2 linked regions of the Neodiprion lecontei genome follow. The protein of the gene in region 1 interacts with the protein of each later gene in a pairwise test. Links are inferred from orthologs where the notes say so. Each region holds a gene or a part of one and is shown on either strand. Other genes may lie near its edges.

The links.
Region 2: the proteins of homeobox protein extradenticle (region 1) and homeobox protein abdominal-B-like interact in a protein complementation assay, tested with the Drosophila melanogaster proteins (2 studies listed by BioGRID). The link is inferred for Neodiprion lecontei from reciprocal best matches to the Drosophila melanogaster genes exd and Abd-B.

Annotation. Positions count from the first base shown.
Region 1 is NC_060262.1:32,546,299-32,551,270, forward strand, and holds the start of homeobox protein extradenticle, read right to left. Parts: upstream 3,137-4,972; 5' UTR 2,977-3,136; intron 2,569-2,976; exon of another isoform or gene 1,142-2,568; 5' UTR 955-1,141; coding exon 722-954; intron 344-721; coding exon 270-343; intron 1-269. Other genes in the region: surfeit locus protein 6 homolog, read left to right, coding at 3,786-3,921, 4,021-4,071, 4,259-4,972. UniProt on the Drosophila melanogaster protein: Transcription factor which acts with the selector homeodomain proteins altering the regulation of downstream target genes such as wingless (wg), teashirt (tsh) and decapentaplegic (dpp), thus affecting segmental identity.
Region 2 is NC_060260.1:2,754,691-2,759,715, reverse strand, and holds the start of homeobox protein abdominal-B-like, read right to left. Parts: upstream 3,036-5,025; 5' UTR 1,997-3,035; coding exon 913-1,996; intron 1-912. UniProt on the Drosophila melanogaster protein: Sequence-specific transcription factor which is part of a developmental regulatory system that provides cells with specific positional identities on the anterior-posterior axis.

The sequences.
Region 1 (4,972 bases):
ATTGATACGGTGTGACAGCGTCGCCGCTGCTTAAAACCCTTCGAAATTCTTTTAAAACTAAAATGTTCCTCCGGCTTGAGGCGAAGTATAAACAAACGGACGTGTGCACGAACTGCATGTAGCCGTGTGACCTTCTTTTTCGATTCTCTGCACGGACGGCGACAGTCGTTGAATAATCGCGAAAACGTAGGTCGGAATGTATCGTACAGCATTTGAACAACGTATGAAATTCGAATTCGATAATGCAGGTATCTGATGTCTTAGCTTACCAGTTTTTTCTTTGATTTCGCACAAGACGGAGAATAGGGCTGGTTTCATTCTGTGGCAATTTAGCGTGTGTTTTCTGTGGACAATAACAAACAGAAAAGACGTTTAACTATTGTTTAAACAGACAGCGTACACATATTCGATATAAATTAAAAACAACAATAACCCGCAATAAGGCCGGTATATTCAAGTGTTAAACAACTCTCAAACCGATCGCTTGTCGTATTTTGCGCCTCCTTTATTTCGGTTATGAAAACGAATTACACTCAACGCATTAGTAACTCTATGAGCAGGCACTTGTTACCGTAATCGTCACCTCTTTCCATTCTAAATTACAGAGTATCGATCCCTGAATCATCGACAGAATCAAGTTCCCGACGGAATTTCGTCCGCGCGATATTCATATTTTCCCTAAAGTATACTCGCGAAATGATTGAATTGGGAATTTAATTACCTAGCCTGTGCCTCGTCCAAACTTTGGTCCGTTATGTTCATAATCTGCTGTAATATTTCGCCGATGTCCTGTTTCCTCGCCTCGACGCTCTGATCGGGGCCTTGAGCCGCGCTCGCATCGACGGGCCCCATGCTGCCGTAGCCCCCCGTGTTTTGGGCCCCTTGACCCTGGTTGCCCCCCATCAGACTCACACCTGAACCACCGTGTTGCAGCATCCTTCCAGTTTCATCCATCAACTGAGTACCAGCTCCGTTTACGTCTGGCGGCTCGCTGGAGCACCGATGTTCTCTTTGCTCTGTTTTTGTTTTTAGTTTTTTTTTTTTCGTTTTTTTTTTTTATGATGCCTCTCGCGATTTTGTCAGGACTTCGGAGCGACGAATGACTGATCCCGAATGGTTTTCTTTACAAGATTTACAAGAACTAAAAACAAAGAAACACACAACAGTAAACAAACAATCAAACAATCGCCAACCGACGCGTTTCACTTTCTCATTTCTCTTCTATTTTGCGATTATTATTGGACGATGATGATGATGATTATTAAAATACTCCCATCTCGCGCACAAACTTTCGTCGTTGTATTAATTTTTCAACACGTGTTCCACTTTATCCGTAACTAACAACGAATCTTATATCGCGTACATATGTTTCTCCGTGTGTAAATACGGCAAACTCTGCTACCTTCGTCGTTCTCTTCGGGATTATTTGGAAATATATATATGTATATACTCGCAACTACGGTAATAATAATAACAATAACAATAATAATCACTGTGGTTATTATTATCGATTTGTTACATTAAAACGCGATTGAAAATAATTCGTAGACACTATCAGCATCGTATATGTATTTATATGTGTGTATATATATATATGTGTATATACAATATATATATATATATATATATATATACAACAGTGTCTTCTGGTATTAATTTCCTTTGTCTCGAATTTCCAACGTTCACACTTACGTTTATTCTTATATTTTATTGTATTATTGTATTCTTTTTTATCCTTTATGATATATATATGTGTATATATATATCTCTTATGTTTTAGGTTCGTAGTCGGTATGATGTAGAGTAGTGTCTAGTTGACGGATTGTCAAAGTGTTACGTATACACGGTTCGTTTTATTACAGTTATTATTTTATGTATCTATTTGTTTTATTTATTACTTTTTAATAACTATTAATTTACGTCATCCTCGTTACCGTTTTCGAATCCTCGGTATTGTTGTTTTCGACGGTGTTTCACGGTAAGCCTAGGCCGATTTGGAAAACTCTTGCCATTCGTATGGCATTACTCTGTGCCTTTACAAGGCAGCGCGCGGCCCGTGTGCGTTCTGTCTCTAGCGATCTGACTTTGGTTAGTGTGAAACTAGCTTCCCTCGGTGCCGAGTGTGCGTGCGCCAGCCATACCCGTTCCCGCCAATCAGAGGACCGCATTCGCGCTCCGTCCTCCGACACGAGACGTCTCTCTCTCACTTGTTTGCTGCCCCATGCGCGACTCTTCGTTGACGCTTGTTTATTTAACCTCCGAGCATCAAACTATCACCGATTCGATGTCGTTCACGGTTTACACGCACTGTCGCCAACACTCCGATATTCACTAAGGTCTGATCATTGTATAAAAGTTTTTCACATTAATGCTGATTGTATTCACGTAAGGCAGGTTTAGTCTCGCACGTCGCGCATCCGACGCTCATTCCTGACAGCAGTTGCGACGCAGACTCCGCCCACATTGCACTTTTTATTCTACAGTTTTTATTTATGTACCCGATTAGGCGGCATGTTGATACGTATTTGTCCCACTGTTTACTTATTGGTGAAAAATAATATTTTTACTCGTGTTTTACCGGCAAAATATCAACTCTCAAGCGTCTAAACGGAGGTTTAATTTGCCAAACAAACCCGTGAGCATGCGCGGCAAATAAACATGGCTTCCATGGCGGCCATGTTTGAATGCAGTTGTTGATTGGAACTGGAACCGATGTTGCAGGATTTCTTTTGCGATTACGTGGTAATATTTGGTATCTGGGAAACTTATATGTTAAAAAATTTTGGAATAAAAATTAGCCGCTGTTATCAAGTGTTGAATTTATCACCGTTGTAACGAAAAAATTTGAACTCAACTTTTCAGACTGTCGTTGCTGTTTACTACAATAAACAATAAATTAATGAATGTATGCGTGCAATAGTGCGTATAATTATGTCCGTCAGCTGGGATAAATCAAAATAAATAATGGTTTCATACCTGGCTTACGGAAACGTCAGATTCGTCAGGATTCACGGATAAAATTCTAACATAACCCAAAATAACCTTAACTTAACCTAATCTAATCCAAGTGACAACGAGGCTTGACGTCTACCCACGTTTCCTTGCAAAGTTTTGCTCGCTACTTTTCGCCGGTAAGAATGTCTGCTGCTGATAACGGTACAAGAATATTCAACCTCAACGTTGCACCTTCTTTATCACTCCCTCCTTGCCTGGAATGACGTTTCCCAATTGATAGTAGCGCCATCTGTGCGTCATTTGATAGTACCAGACACAGACTCAGTAAGTCTACGGGCCTGAGAGAGCTCACGCTCGTCTTTCCGTGATATAGGTTTTTGACACTAATTTTCGAGGTATTTGGTCGGTAAACGCGTGGCGTAACCGACCAATACTCTGCCGTATTAAGCGTCGTGAAAACAGTGAACGATGCGGAACACATTTACGGGGATCAGTAGTCAAATATGAACAAATTACTAACATCCACTGTTTTCGTGATGCCGAATATGGCCGATCACTGAAGATACTGCAGAGTGCAGTTCAGTTACCGTCATGCCTTTACCGTTCAAATATCTCTAAAACTAGTTCTGAATACCTGTATGGTGTCAAAGGGCGCTAATACACCGGAGACACGAGAAGTGCAAGCGTGGGCTCTCTCAGGCTTCTGTCTGCTTCTCTCTCGTACGTTTCGCGATTTGACCACGCCGCGGCGACTGCTGTTCGTCATCGTCATTATATTTACAAGCTGCAGGAGGTGCACGTGAAATTTTGTGGTTAAAAGGAAAGACAAGATGCAGTTAACAGAGACGCGTAAGGCTAAATCATTCGACGTGAAGTTGGCGAAGCAGATATTGATAAGGGAAAATAAGTACATAACAGATTTGTTCTCCCGTATGCCTATACCATACTCTGCCCTGCACAAAAACGGTTCGAACTCAAATATAACCTGAAAATTTGATAATTCTTACGTTGTATAGACTCGTCTGGTTGACAACGAGATATAATTTAACGCTTTTTTTATTGCAGATGAATTCCAAGACGATGATGCCGACCACGAGCAACAAACCAATGACAGAGGTATTAGTTTTTTGCAATAAGTCTGCTAGAGATAACAATTGTAGAATATTTAAAGTTCTTGGTTATCAGCGGCACGCTTGCGTGTGGAAAGACTACATAATTGATATTTCCAAGGATTCCTATAAAAGATTGATGAAAAGTTCATCCATTACTGTTAATTACCAAATACTCTCGTTTTGGGTTATAGAAAAGATGTTTTTGGCTCTGGGGTCAGGCACGTCGAGAGCGAATACGTTAATAGAGTTGCATGAAAAATTGGAACAGTTGAAGGGAAAGCGATTGGATTATAAAGCGAAACTTTTGAAAAAGGGCCTGAAAAATAGACTGAAGAAAAAAAGTAAAAAAGAAGAGAGATTGATGCAGAAAAAACTGGCCAAGACAGAGTTGGCTGCAGCTGGGGGTGCCAAAGCGAAGCATGAGAACGGAGATGTGCCCAAGTTCACAAGACCGAAACCAATTTTCAATTCGGAAGGTAAAATGGTCTTCAGTAAATTCGACTTCTCAGAAATCGGTGCTAAAAAAGTACAGCCTAAAGTAGACAAGGATCCCAAAAAGATTCTGCAAAAGTTGGAAAAACAGAAGTTGAAGATAAACGAACTACAGCAAGCTGGAAAAAAAGATGCGGCCGATGAACTTCAGGAGAGACAAGCTTGGAAAACTGTTCTAGCCAAGGCAAGTGGGGAAAAAGTCAAGGATAATCCAGAGTTATTGAAAAAATCAGTCAAAAAAGAAGAGCAAAAAAGGAAACATAGCGCTAAAAAATGGGAGGCTCGAAAAGAAAAGGTTCAGAAATCGCTGGAAGAGAAACAACAAAAAAGACAAGAAAACATTAACAAACGAAAAAGGGAAAACAAAATAAACAACCTGAAGAGAGCTTCTAAGAAGGGTCGAATCATACCTG
Region 2 (5,025 bases), on another chromosome or scaffold:
CCAGAACATTAAAGCAGCTACACGTTATACGGAATAAAAAAAAAAAAACTATTAAAAATGTAATCATAATTATAACATATCGTACGTGTATGTATATCATTCGGGCTGAGAAGAGAATCACGTTGTGAATTCATGCGGTCAAATATTTGCTATCGGACTGAAGTTTTTGATCGGATCGTGGATATGTCGAAACGGGGTCTTAAAAACTACCGGAGAGAAAAATAGAGAGAGAAAAAGAGAGAGAGAAAGGGAAAGCAATATAAATAATACGAACACAAGCCTTGGCTAACGATAATACGAATTAGCGTGCGTGAAAAAGGAGTACGTTGAACGATGAAGAGCAGAGGAACCGACTCCGAGAGAGAAAGAGAAAGAGGGAAGGAGAGAGAGAGAGAGAGAGAGTCAGCGTATACGGAGTAAAGGAAGGCAGACGACGGACCAGCGGGTCGAGGAACGAGGCAGATCAGCTGATCGGAGGCGCGCGCCAGGGTTTACGAGTTACGGCCGCCAATAAACTCACCACGGGCCGTTGTTCGCTGCGACGTTTCACGGTTCGTAGGGGGACGAAACGGTGGGGGGGTAGAGGGAGAAGGGTGCGAGGGAAAACGCGTTCGAGCTCTCTTCACCTACGTACGCACACGTACGCGTACCTAGGTGTACCGGTCTATACAGGCGTGAACGCGAAGAACGCATGAATGAACGAACGACTCTCACACACGTATACTTTTACGTCGTGCGTCGATCCCACTCGGCGTTCGTAAGCGTACACGCACACGCGTGCATTACGCTGCAAAACACGTGGAACACGACGTTCCGCAGACGTCGAGCAACTCTTTTCGCGATCAACGAAACGACGGGAATGACGAAAGTGTAAGGTCGCGGGGGTGGCTCGAAATCGGCATCGATGCTTACCTGGAGGCGGATAAGGGCTGGAGGTGACCGGTTCCGGTGCCCCGTAGTTCCTGAGACTCCCGTATCCGTCGTGAGGAAAGGCCCCCTCGGCGGCGACCATGGCGGCGGCGGTCCTTCCCCGATCGTCAGCCGCCGAGGGTGTGAGGTAGGGTATACCGGCCTGGGAGTGGGGGTGGTGATGACCGGCGGTGTCGACGGGATGATGATGCCTGGCCGTCGAGTAGGGGGAGTAGTTGCACCAGCTTGGGGAGAAGCTCTGGTGGCAGGAGACGGCGGGGTCGCCGGCCGAGCCGGAAGTCGATCCGCCCCCGCCGGCGGAGGAAGTCGCACCGGTGGCGCCCCCCGACGAGTTGTAAGACTTATAGTCAGCGGGGGTGGGTCCGCCGGCGCCCCCCGAGGAGGCCGTGGCCGCCGCCGGTGACCAGAAGCTGAGAGCGGCGGCGGCCTTTCGGCTGTCCCTCGAGGATCCCGTCGTCGAGCTCGGGTCGGCCGCCAGGTTGTAGTAGGTGGGGGGGTTCGCGCCCCCGTAAGCCTGGTGGTGGTTCAGCGGGTCCGCCGCGGGCCCCGAAGCCCCGTAGTGGGCAGGGTCCTGGGGGTGGTGAGGGCTGTAGCTCCAGCCGCCCTGAGAGCCGCCCGTCGAGGAGTGCGAGTGCCTTATCACGCCGCCCGCCCCCGCGCCCGCCGCCCCTGAGGGCTCGACGCAGGGAACCTCGCCGTAGGTCGAACCGCCCCCGGGGGTGGCGGTCAGCCGCTTCGCCGGTATGTGGAGAGGACCCGCCGCGCTGTTGCTCGCGACCGACGAGGCGCTCGGTGACGTCGAACTCGCGCTCGCCGTAGGCGGGGGTGGAACGGTGCCGGCCGATGCGGGGGCGCCCGGGGAAGTCGGTGTCGTCGCCTGCGGGTGAGAGCCTGGCGTCGAGTTCTGCTGCTGCTGCTGCTGCGGCTGCTGCTGCTGTTGCTGGATCGGCAGGAGAGAGGAGGTCGGCGGTACTGGCGGGGAGCTGTCCTCGTAGAAGCCGCTGTTCATGATGTTCCACCAGGTCGTCACCCCGGCGGAATTCCCCGCTCCGGCGGCTGCACCCATCGGCGTGACGGAGCCAGGGTGGCCCACGCCGGAACCGCACAAGGGTGCGGCGTGAACATTGTCGTACAGTGTCGCCGTCGAACAAGCCACGTGATCGGCGATGGTGCAGATGGTGACGGTTTATTGCCGGGGTTATAATGATCGTGGATGAATCAGGCAGCGGGTTTTCGGTGATACGGATTTCTCACAACACCGGATACGTCGGGACGAACCCGATTGGTGGTTTTTAGTTTTATTTTTAGATATATGTTTTGTCGTTTTTTTTTTGTTGGTATATTTTTTTTTTTGTTTGTTTTTTGTTCACGTCAAACCGTTCACCACGATGATGATGACGATGACGAGGATGAGGCGGCGAGGAGGTCGGCGTTCCCGTTCACGTTGCGGCACAGCATCGTCGTCGTCGTAGTTCGCGGTGTAAATAAAGGAGACAGTCGCGTGTTGACCGGATGACGTGGGGTGGGGTGAAGGAGCGGTGGAGGGGATGGGGTGGACGGGGGGTGGAGAAGGGGGGGGGGCAGAGACGACGCGGCAGACAGGTGGAGGGTGGCGGCCGTGGGGGAGAAGAGCGGGAGACAGACAGAGAGGGAGAAAAAGAGTGAGTGAGTGAGAGAGAGAGAGAGACAGAGAGAGAGAGAGAGAGAGAGAGAGAAGGACGTGTAGAGCGAGAGCGTGGGGAGGGTGGGAAGGTCGACGACCAAAATAAAAAAAGAGGAGAACCGTGGAAGAGAAGTCGAGTTAGAAAAAGGCCGTTGATAAGGATGCGGAAGGGTTATTGTTGTTTGTTTTATTTTTTGCGGTGGTGGGGGGGGGGGGGGGGGGGGGGGGAGGAGGTAATCAGATTTGCATCATCCAGCAGCGATCGACGACGAGTCGGTCCAGTTTTGTTGTAATTATATATTCGTAATTTCCAACGAAGCGAAGATTTTTAGATGAAACAGAAATAAGATACACACACGCGATTTAGTATGTTGATCGTGTGCAGGTATTATTATTATTATTATTATTATTATTATTATTATTATTATTATTATGAACGGTATATTTTATCGTCAACGAAGGGACTCGATCGTTGTTGTATCGAACAGTTTTCTCTGCTCTTTGAAACACTTGTCTGTTTTTTTCGTCGTCTCTTATTGTTTATCACGCACGGTTATATGGGAAAAATTTTACCCCCTGCATACATGTATACATATACGTATATGGATATATATATGTACACACACACATATATATGTATGTAATGTGCATGCATACGTATAAATCAGTCCGTCATTTCACAGGATCAACGAGACACTTGGCATGGAAAAAAAAATTACACCTGCTGTGGTGTACTATTTTGCAGAGAAGATGAGAAAAAACTACATATATACACACACATATATATATATATATATATATATATATATAAATATCACTCCGAGCTCTGCACGTACTTTTCCCCTAACAACTGGATAGTCGACGATCCCTGGCGATAAGCCGAAGTCGTACAATCATCACGGTGTCGTGTAATTTATGCAAAACTGTCACCCCGAACATCACAATCTTCTTGCCTCTCGTTTCAACGAGAATTAGCAACGTTATTTGTGTACAGTTTGTACGGAAAGTGAGAGCTAGAGTGAGAGAGACAGAGGTGAAAAGATAACGAGGAAAAAAGAAATGGTTAATCTTCGTCTCGTTGCAGTTTATTATTTTTCGTAAATCTTTATTTACGTTGATGCTTTTGCTTGTCGTAGTTTTTTTCTCGTTTTTTCTCTTCTCATCCGTAAGTCAAAAAATGCAACAATCGCACTCAACCCCCCCGACACTGCGTGCAGCAATTAAATATCCACTCAAACGCCGAGGAGCGCGCGCGCGCACGCCTTTTCTTTTTTTTTCTCTCCCTCTTTCTCCGTTGCTGCTGCTTCTTTTTTTTCTTTTTTTTTTCCTCCAACGCCTTTACAAGCGGAACACTGGGTGTCCAAAAGCTGGTCCCGAGTGTTCGGTCGAGTAGAAACGCTCCGTTACGATCAGACGGCCCAGGCGGTGACCGTCCGTCCGTCTGGCTCCGACGAAAATACAGCAGTAGTAGAAGAAGCGGCTCGCAGTCCTTTCTCCCCCCGAAGGGCTGAGCGCCGGGGTGACTGACTGATACTCCAGGTTTTCTCCCTCGCGTTATATCGCGCGATAAATTCTTTCCCCCGAGTTTGTCGGAGGGTCGAAGAAGGAAGGGTCGCTCTGGCTTGTAGGCGCGCACGGTTCCAAACCAACGTCAACACGAAAGGGAGCCCCTTTCTTCTCGCTTAGCCTCGCCGAGCCGTACTGAGCGCTCACTGAGCTCCGCCGGCGCGAACTCCCGACGAACTCGATGAGCGCCGACCGCGCGATCTGTCGGCGCGCCCGTCAACCGCTCTATTCTGTCGCCGCTCACCCCTCCGCCCCCCCAATCTCACGACGTCTCGCGCTCTCTTTATCTCAACGTCTCCTTCCCTCCCGCCCAAATTCTCGGCTAGCTTCTCTTCTCGCGAGATCCGCTACCGCTGCGGGGAGAATCTCGATTCCCTCTCCTTGCGCGAACGGCGATCACAAGATTCGGGTCGACTTGGACGGTTTTTTAATCACTTATTTATTTGAAGAAATTTCTTTTTACCCTCGTTTTAGGAAAAAAACGCGATCCGTAACCCCAGGAACAATTACGTTACAAGGATCACGCGTGCTACGAATTAAAAATCCTCCCCCCTCCAACGACGCCACGCGAAAGCTCTCCCCTACGAGCGGAGAAATTAAACTTGACCGAGTGAGCGAACGGCGTTTGACGGTAGCTTGCGGCAAAACCCCGTGGGGGCAAGGGAAAAGCACCAGCGTGCTCAGTGTACCGCAACAATACGTCGTTACGTCACGGTTCTACTGCAGTCTAAATCTCGGTACTTTTATGGGCAGTAAAGTAAAACGGTCCGACAACAATGCCTCTCGGTGGTTGATGTCGCTCTGTCCCGTGACTCCTCCGCGGCTTCGCACCGCCGGACCATACACGCGCCGTCACTACTTTGCAG